Saccharomyces cerevisiae S288C: one gene and its partner. Changing the gene in region 1 together with any one later gene gives a genetic interaction. Each region holds a gene or a part of one and is shown on either strand. Other genes may lie near its edges.

Evidence for each region.
Region 2: of FPR3 (region 1) and NMA111, extra expression of one rescues a mutant of the other (dosage rescue), as found in Saccharomyces cerevisiae (one study listed by BioGRID).

What each region holds. Positions count from the first base shown.
Region 1 is NC_001145.3:119,020-123,383, forward strand, and holds FPR3 (peptidylprolyl isomerase FPR3), read right to left. Parts: upstream 2,306-4,364; coding exon 1,070-2,305; downstream 1-1,069. Other genes in the region: 60S ribosomal protein eL6 RPL6A, read right to left, coding at 4,208-4,364. UniProt on the Saccharomyces cerevisiae protein: Proline isomerase that belongs to an abundant class of enzymes that catalyze the cis-trans isomerization of X-Pro peptide bonds and can accelerate the refolding of proline-containing polypeptides. Specifically binds nuclear localization sequences.
Region 2 is NC_001146.8:392,450-398,178, reverse strand, and holds NMA111 (Nma111p), read right to left. Parts: upstream 3,495-5,729; coding exon 501-3,494; downstream 1-500. Other genes in the region: mitochondrial 54S ribosomal protein bL35m MRP35, read left to right, coding at 1-156; NAF1 (RNA-binding snoRNP assembly protein), read right to left, coding at 3,809-5,287. UniProt on the Saccharomyces cerevisiae protein: Nuclear serine protease which mediates apoptosis through proteolysis of the apoptotic inhibitor BIR1.

The DNA.
Region 1 (4,364 bases):
ATCAAAAAACCGAAGACGAATATAGCTCTTTCAAGTTGTCTTTTTTAAAGGAATGCCTTTGAAAATTAGATCTTTTAAACTTTCAAAAATCTTTGCCTGGATTTATCGAACAACAGCTTTTCATAGCCGAAAAGATACAGGAAAAATGAGGAAGAAACCGATGAATTGTTTTATAAGCTATCACCTAGCGATAATAATAGGTAAAGTAGAGATCCTATAGCTAGTACGGACCTTTCTTTCGGACGTTCTATAGAGTTTTAAACGAGCGGGCGTAGAGACTCGCACTACGTTTTCTTCGCACTACGCTGAGGTCTTCCAACTCTTCTCCAGAAGGCTTTTCTTTCCCTTAGTCCACCCGATAAAAATGGGGCCCTTTGAAATTCCGTTTTGTAGCTTAGTTTCTCGGACTTAAAGCATGTGCTCACCATACTACCATCACCCGAATGTACAGCCAACGCCACTTTAGTGGATAATAAGTCATGATAGTGGACGAACAATCGGGGTAAAAGGGGTTGGAAGAGAACGGCTGGAATCCATCAATCAGCAGCGTTTAACGGTTCTAATTTTCAGTTACAAGGATGATCAACGAGAGCCTTATTTCTAATGTTCCCTAATGTATATGTGTTCCGGCTACTGTTTAGCTGAAGAGCTGTGTCTAGCCTTCCTGGCGGTTATCGTTCACAGTCAGCTTGCGCTTTATTTCATTAACATCGAACTAAATACTAGAGGCCATAACCGCAATTACAGCTGCGGCGATAATCTAATTTAACGTCAATGTCTGAATTCTTATTGCTTTGAAGATTTCTTCACCTTTCTTGACGACCATCCAGTAGCACTCAGTGAAATAGGAACAGAAAGAAGATAACGCTTTTTTTGCCGCCATATATTTCTTTCTATACAACACAGCTTCTTTATTTGTATCATCCGCGGAGAAAAGTAAAATGAAAAGCTTATAAAGAGCAATAGATACTAAAAAGAAATAGAATGTTTTCGGATTTACATACAGAAGGTTACAATATTATGTAAAAAGAATAATATATATAAACATCTATCCGTACGAGCGCGTGTACTAGTTTTTCATAGAAACCAATTTAACGTCGAATGTCAGTTCGGAATTGGCAGGAATACCTGGCAGAGCTTGCTTCCCGTAGGCATATGGTGCTGGAATGATGATTCTACGTTCGCCACCAACAGACATACCGGCAACACCAATGTCCCAGCCTTTGATAACTTCACCACGGCCAAGTTTGAATGCAAATGGTTTACCGCTGGTGTTCTTGTCGAAAACTTTACCGTTCTTTAACTTACCAATGTACCTCATGCCTACTCTGGCACCTCTCTTAGCCTGTGGGCCATCACCGATAGTACGGTCTTCGATTACTATGCCGCCTTCCAAAACCTTACTCTTTGGTTTATGCTTATCTTGTTCCTTTTTGCTTTTGGGTTTTGTTGGACCCTCCTCTAAGTCCTTCTTGAATTCGACCTTCTTTACTTTTTTAGCTTTCTTTTCTTCTTCTTTCTCTTCGTGCTTTCTCTTTTTTTCCTTTTTGCTTTTCTTAGGTTCTGGCTTAACTTCTTCTTTTTGTTCTTCTTCTTCTTCTTCTTCTTGTTCTTCTTCTCCATCATTATCTTCTTCATCTTCTTCTTGGACTTCTTCAATACGAACTTCTTCTTCCTCTTCGTCATCCAAGTCGTCCATGTCGTCGCCAATAATTTCATCCTCATCTGGGGTCAAGTCGTAGTCTTCACTGTCATAGATGTCAGCGTCTTCATCTTCGTCTTCACCTTCGACTCCCATTGGAGTATCAAATGGATGCTTAACATAGTTACCGCTCAAGGAGATAGCGTAAGAACCAGTGACAATGAATTGGACTTCTTCTTCTGGAGTAATGGTCAAGTCCAAAGATTGTTGGTATTGGGCTTCCGGAGATAAAGTCAAAAGGACGGATTCTTGGAACTCATCGTCCTCGTCATCGTCTTCTTCATCATCCTCACTTTCACTTTCAGCCTTCTTGCCTTTACTCTTCTTTTTCTTTTGGGTTTTTTCCTCTTCTTCTTCCTCAGAGGATTCTTCGTCTATTTCGTCTTCATCAAAATCACCACCTAAAAAATCATCATCTTCAAAGTCCGGGTTTCTTTTGATAATTCTTAAAGTCGATGGTTTGTTCTCTTCATCGATGGCTTCCGGGTTCAAAGCAGCCATAGTAATACGAACGGTGATGGGCATCGTGACGTCGATTGCTGGAACCGGGGTATAAGGTTCAACATTCAAACTGTAGGTAGCTAGTGGTAACAAATCAGACATATTGGGCTGGTTGGATGCTTGCTTTCAATTATGTATGAACTTTCACACAATTATGTATTATATAGAAACGTGTTAGTAGGCTCTTTTTTCGAATTTAAAAATTTTACCTTCACTTTTAAATTTTGCCGTCCTTTAGGAATGACGACAGTCCGTAGAGGGCTGAAAATTGAACAGCGAGCTAATACTAGTGGATTCTAATCAATGGAACATGAAGCATGTATCATAATCTCTGTTCTTGCCGGTTTTGACTATATAGATGTAGATGCAATCCAGATTTTAGTGAAAGGTAGAGGAAGCAAGCCAGTTGAAAAAGGTAGAAAGTATGCGATGTGTCATATACATTTGGCATATTCTCCCCATAATATCATGAACAGGTGATAGTAGAATGTTTGGAGCATTGATGACAGATTATTTCCAAAAGAAGTTTGATTGTGCGATCGCTCTCTTTTATGTTCTTTGATGCATTTTTGTACAATATATTAAAGTAACAAATCGGCGAAAGAACGTCAGTAATGTGTCGTTGCCAACCGTAAAGTGCTCGATGATTAATTTCACAATACATTTCAACCAAAGTGTTTTCATTCAAATACTGGCACAAAGGTTTGTTTTTCTAAGTGCCTATGGTGTGCGATAAAATGTTTTTGATGGAACACAGTTCATTGCTCAGAAAATACGCCATTTATCTATTTGTGTCGTTCTTCCTTCCAAGAATTACAAGAATTTTATTTTTTATTCAATGCTCAATCGTCTGCTCAAGGACTTCTGGTAAGTTACGTTAAATAATAGCTATGGCGCTTTTCTCATTTCTATAATGCAGAGTTGGTGGCTATAACCGTATTATCGATGTTATTACCGTTCGAATATATGTAAGCTTAACATTGCCGCATTAGTTTTGCTTGAAGATGCTCTGTCCATATTTTGTTAACCCGTCTTAGAATTGATCATTGCTTGCTTTAAATAATGAAGATCTTTTGACGAAGCCAATGACTATGCTGTCTTCAACTTTTGGCAGTAAAGCCAATTCTGTGAGAACTCGCGGGGAAACTCCAAAGCACACTTAGAGAATAAAAATACATGGAGTCGAAGCATGACTCGGATGATTTCTAACGTCCTGACATTTACTCGAAAGTATTTCACTACCAGTGGGGTAAAGGACAATATCGACGTCCGTTGGCTATGTTGGTAACTGAGATGAAGTTGTAACAAATTCCTGCAGGATGCTTTTACACTCACCGGTTGCATTTTCCTCATTTCATAGATAACAAAGTAAACAGAGCGCATTTTTTGGAGTATTTTATACGTCAATGCGACTTTGATACCTGAAATCCCCTTAATATTGGTAGGAACATTGGGCTCAAGCGATGCATTTTCTCTTGCATTTTGTTTCTCACTATTTGTCTTTTCTACTTTCAATTTTCTTATCTTTGTTCTATTCCCGTTCCTGTTCTATTCCCGTTTTATTTGCTGTGAGCAGGCCTTGTTATTGCCAACGTTTAAAACCATTTACTTTTTGTTTAAAAATCTCTCTTCTATTTCCACATCTCACCTAAAACAACGATCATTATATAACATGAGGTGTATTGTTTTTCCTCACCATACGATCAAATATAACATCACAAAGCTTACAGCAGAGCGACACTTTTTTGCTTAACAATTTGTATTTTGTATGATGCATCCAAGTCTTGCGCCAAGAAAGTCTACATTATAGGAAAGATCAAAGGAACTTGAAATAATGTATTCCTTTTTCTTTTCACGCCCTTTCTCTGGGTGATTGCCGCAATGAAGATATAAATATGCGAATAAAAAACCAATGCTCAATACAAATGCACTTATGAAACTGTAGTTAAATTATAATTTTACCTGCATATATATTATTATAGAAGTTCGTTAAAATAATTATATTTAAAATTTCAACATGTGTGGCTTGTCACCGTTCTTCAAAGAGAAAGAAGCAGACAAGTATTGCTTCAATAATGGAGTCTTCTTGATTTCAGCAATCAAAGCCTTGTCGACAACCTTTTGGTCTTCAACACGTTCAGCCTTGATTTCCTTGTTTTGT
Region 2 (5,729 bases), on another chromosome or scaffold:
TGGAGGCGTACCGGTAATACTTTTAAAAGAGGCATAGCTGGAAGAAAACATGGCAATATAGGCTGGTCCCATAGATCATTAAAAGCCTTAACCGGAAGGAAAATTGCCCATCCAGCTTATTCAAAGCATCTAAAGCGGTTATTACCCTATCATTGAAGGTGGAATAATTATGTTCTCCTCTAAACCAAACGCACCGTTAACCCCAAATCAATTGTTTGAGTATTTGCTTTCGGTCTTCATGTATATAAATAAGTATGAAACAATAACCATAAATTTATACAATCGATAATACCTTAGAGAATTCAAGCGTTGAAGTAATTAAATACTATTTCGTCAGGCGCTTGCAACCATCTCGACATCATAATCCTAACCCCTCAAAATGATTGAAAAACTTGTAAATCTTAACGCTCCTGTGATAGTCTATAAAAAAACTGTTCTTTATGGAAGACTTTGATGTATACATACATACATACATATATAAATGTTTTATCAAATCTGGCCTATTTTTCACTTTGGCTGTTGCCGGTAAATTCCTTTTCAATCCATTTGTGCGTGATGTTGTCCCTCTTCAATTCTGCAGTAGGGAAGTAATGATAATTCGTTTTCAGTGAAATAGCGAAGGGCACATTGTCGAAAGTCATTAACCTCATTTTACAATAACTATTATCAGGGATTGTTTTGACAACTTTCAAAAATGTATCTAGATCAGGTGTTTCAATTTCATTGACATGAGTTATGAAGTTTGTGGCAGATATACCGTACTGGAGCGCCGGTGACGATTCTCCCCTGAATGTACAGTAGACACCCTTTGGAACATCAACCATAGCTTGCAAAACAGCATGATGCGGCTTTTGTAAGATACTACCTGCAAATATTACAAAACGGTCGGTTTCCTGAACTTCCACGGTTTTAATTTTCAAATCAACAATATTACCATCACGAACAACTTTAAAATCTAACATGGCTGATGGCAAAATACCATCAGCTGAGCTTACAACTCCATTCAAATCATTCATTTCAGTGACTAATTTTCCGTTCACAGATAAAATGACGTCACCGGTCTCTAAATGAATCTTGTCTTCTGTATAAGAAACTCTAGAAACAGTGATAAACTGTAGCCTGTTATTTGATTCATGTTCCATACGCATGATCCATTCTTCGGGCACACCTCTAATTCTGGCTTGCAGAACGGAAATTGAACCGAACCCAGCATCAACTATACTTACTCTTGGTTTACCGCCATTTTTTAAGATATCTATAACTTCCCTACAGTCCATTATATCTAATCCCATCAAATAAACCTTTTCTTTATTTTCTAATCTTTCGCCTAAAAATGGAAGCCATAAACCTCTTACTGTACCATCATTATCTGTCAAAATACCGGAATTACATCTGGTGCTAACGTTGCAGTCGATAGATATAGCTTCTAAATTAGTGGCACGGTACCTCGGAATTAAATTACTTGGAATACTTACAGAGGAAATATCGGTGACAGTGGTCTCTGAAGTAACAATTCTATCATTCTGGGTAAAACCTATAAACTGAAGCTTATCACCACGTTTCATTCTGGTGGTAGATAGCTTGGGAGTGATTAGTGGAGCCTTTACTAACTCTGGATCATATTTAACAATAGCGAAGTTGTGAGTTGGATGGAGAAATTCTACTGTGGCTGGAACTACAAGGGAATCTGCAATGGTGACAAAAGTATCAAGACAATCATGTGGAACTACCCTTCTGGACACTAGGACATAACCTTTTTCAGCATCAATGATTAAGCCTGATGTTTTTAAAATATCAGCAGAAAGTGAATCCAATGGAACTGCTGCCATTGTAGCCACTGTACATAACGATGATGACAATTTTGCAACTTTTTCATTATTAACAGGAATAGGAATAATTTTGGCCGAACGAGGTTTCAACGCATCGGCTGGAAGTGGATCAGCAACATTTTTGTAATCCCAAATACCAGTTGTATCGTTCCTTGTGTAAACTCTGAATTCATTGCACCAATGACGGTCAATGTAAATAGAAGTAACAAGTGGAGAATGCTGATCTGTTAGATGGTGGTATCGTACAGTAACGCGCTTACGATCTGGAATAGTTTTCATAATTTCAATAAATGTATCTAAGTCGGGGGTTTCCTTATTGTCTATAGAATCCACAATCCAACCCACTCTTTCTTTTGAATCAAAGTTGAAAGACCCTGATGCACTACTTAAAAATACACCCCTGACAGGTAGCGCATAAAACCTTGCCATTTGATATGATAATTCATGAAAAGTCGCACCACAAACCTCTACATAACGATGAGGGGTGATAGCATGTAAATCACCAACAGTGCAGGTGACAGTACATTCGACACCGCCCCTTTGAATAACCAATTGGATTTCCTTCCCAACATTTTCATCTTGAATTTTATCCACTTGCATGAAAGAAGATATGGTTTCACCGTTTATTGAAATTAGAGTATCACCTTCTTTAATTTTATCATAGCCTGGGCCTTCTCTTAAAACGGTTTCTGCTACCAACAGTCCGATATTTTCGGGAAATTTAGCACGAGCCTCACTTTCTCTCTCTGAAGTTAAACCTAATCTTCTACACTCGTCATAAGGCTTCAGCAGCCATTGAACTTGAATCGTACCACGTGTGATAGGTTTGTTGGTTTGGATGCAAATTAACGCTCTAAGAATTCTATCTAACGGTAAAAAAAAATCAGTAGATGCCTCTGTAGAGCCACCTGCCTGTAAAGCCACAGCATACCCATCTATATTTACGACTGGAGAACCACTTGAACCGCCAGAAGCAGATGCAGCAGCTTGAATATATTCTGTATTGAAGTCATTGTATGTCAGCTCACCATATTCTGGAGCGTTCCTGTCAATTCTACTAATAAAACCTGCTAGGATACTTAATTTCTCACCGGCATCATTACCGACAACTCTAATTTCTGAGCCGACCTTAGCCAAACTTGGTTTTAGCGTTAACGCTTTGATCTTAGAATATTTTATGTTTTTCGGATCGAATTTGAGGAACCCAAAATCATGAACAGGATCTCTGTAAATTGGTATAACATCGCATTCTTCATGATTATCGAAAACTACGTAGCCTACGAACGGACCAGGACCAACGACGTGCCTATTGGTCAGAATTATACCTAATTTAGCATCCACGACAAATCCGGTAGCTTCAGATACCAAAGCAGAATCGCAATCGAATGGCGCAACTTGTGAAAAATGAATGGAAACCACTGATTTAACAACGTTGGAGATGGTATTTTGCCATCTTAGATAATTTTCTGAATCTGTGAGTACAGTGTTATTATTATTAGCAAAGTGCAACGGCTCTATAATGATTTCATGGTCTGTATATTCTTCCTCTTGATCTCCGGTGGCGCTTTCCAACTGTTTCCTTTTTACAAGCGATGATTCACCAGAAGTTCCATCGGAAATTTTAGAATGGTCTCTTTTCTTTATATTGCTCAACGATATGGTCATTAGTAGATCTAAAAAACCTTTACTGTACTCTACGTGTGTATTCAGAGTATAAATATCTTCTAAATAAACTTCCGTATTTAAACCCTCGTAGAACTTTTTTATTTACATATAAATTTTTTGAAAGTTTCATATCATCGCCTTGAGGAAAAAAAAAGAAAAAAAGAAAAATTATCATGTCACACGCTGAGATGGCGTCTAATAATGGTAGTGACAGTAAAATAATATTCAATTAAGAAACTTGTTAAATTTTTCTTGCCTCTTTCTAGTTTATCTATGATACATAGCATTTATTATTAAATATTTCAATCGTGACTCTAGGTTCTTGGATCTTGCTGATGCTGATGCTGATACTGGTGTTGCTGTTGCTGTTGCTGCAAAAGTATTTGATGTAATTCCATTACTTGTTGGAAATTACCATTTCCCTGAGGAGGTGCTTGAGGTGGCGGTTGGATGTACATTGGGTTTTGCATTTGATTCATGGGAGGTACGCCATATGGAAGTGGCGGTTGACTTTGGGTCATTGGCATGAACGACTGCTGTGTTGGCGGCGACATATTGTTGTATGCGGGAGGTAAGCTACCATATGGAACAGTGTTGGAGAATTGGGCCGGTGTCGCCTGCCCAAATGGTGGAGGTGGATACTGGAAGTTAGTCGGCTGAGGGAAAGGTGAGTATGGTGGATAAGGCATACCGTTTGGTTGTTGAGGGAAGGGATAATTATTTGCAGAAAACTGTTGTTGGTGGTGCTGTGTGATTGGCACTGGGGAGGAGCCATTCCGATTAGAGGTAGCACTGGATTCACGCTTGATATTTTCACGTGCGTTTCTTGATTTGTACCCATGTTGCATCGGAGCATTACTGCTCATGCCCAACGGCGGTACCAGTTTAGGTAAACTGTTGGCCTTGGGCTGCCGAGCTCTCTTTACCTTGACATTGTCACTATCGTTGGCTAGTTTGCGGTTGTCCCTTTTCTTTCGTTGCCGTTGCTGTTTCTTCATTTTCTTGAAAAGGGCCTCTTTTTCGTCGTCGGAAAATTCTTGTTCCTCTTCAGGTAATTCTTCATCGTACCCATTAGACGCATCAGTACCTTTGTTGCGCTTTAACTCGAAAGTATCTATCCAGTGGGCATCAGGGGTGACTATAAAGGCTTTCTCACCCAAACGCACTTTTAATTCATCGAATAAGTTTTTTTTTGAATCGGGCAACTTAATTCTATAAAATGGGTTTTGCAAGGGTCCAAACACCTCCGTCAACATCCCGATCAAAGTTCTATCCTCGAGACAGAAAATGGAACCCTCTTTTAAAACACGCTTTTCGCCCGACATCGTGGCGTGAATGATTATATTATTTTCAAATGCAGACTTCAAAACACCAATAGGAGTGATGATCGTTTTTTCTGAAATTTCATAATCTTCCGGTAGTTCAGGAACAGTTTCCTCTAGTATTTCGTTCTTCGATAGTATAGGACCGGAAGGTGAAGGGTCTTCGTCTTCGTCTTCATTTTCAATCGCGTCACCACCTTCGTCCTCTCCTTCAACGTCCTGATCTGCAGAATCATCCTCACTACCTGAAGAGCCAGAATCAGAATCAGAATCAGAACCGGAATCTGATTCGGATTCAGAAGAGCCGGATCCTAGGCCTGTTGATCTTTCTGCGTCTGCTACCGGTTCATCGGTCTTCCTCTCGTTCCCACCATCACCTAAAAGACCTAAATCAACATCATCCTTGGGCAATTCCACGTTCAAGTCCTGGTCGGGATTCTCCAAAGCCTTAGAAAACAAGTCATCGCTCATGATTAGCACTGTTTCGACGTGCTATATTGTGCTTCTTCCACTTTCATACCGCTTCATCCTACCTATCATCCTACCATCTTTTTCCTTTACCTTTAAGCTCATCGCCTGAAAAATTTCATGGCCGCAAAAAGAAACGCGCAGACCGTTACCCGAGTGGTAGTGCCTGACTCATTTATGTGCCAACTAAGCATTGCTCGAGAACAAACTAGTGAAAATGTAAACCAGGGAATTTATCATTTGGTCAAAGACCCTGACGAACTAAAACTGTCAAAGGCTGATAACGCAGTAAGAACAGACGGAGGCCTTATACCGCATCTTTGCAGACCACAGTTTCCTATATCTAGTTACAATAGCGCTTGCCGACGATAACCGAGATAACGTATCTTTGCCGCGGGCTATCTCGGCAATCTGCAAAAAAAAAAAACCCCCGCCGCTATTGAAG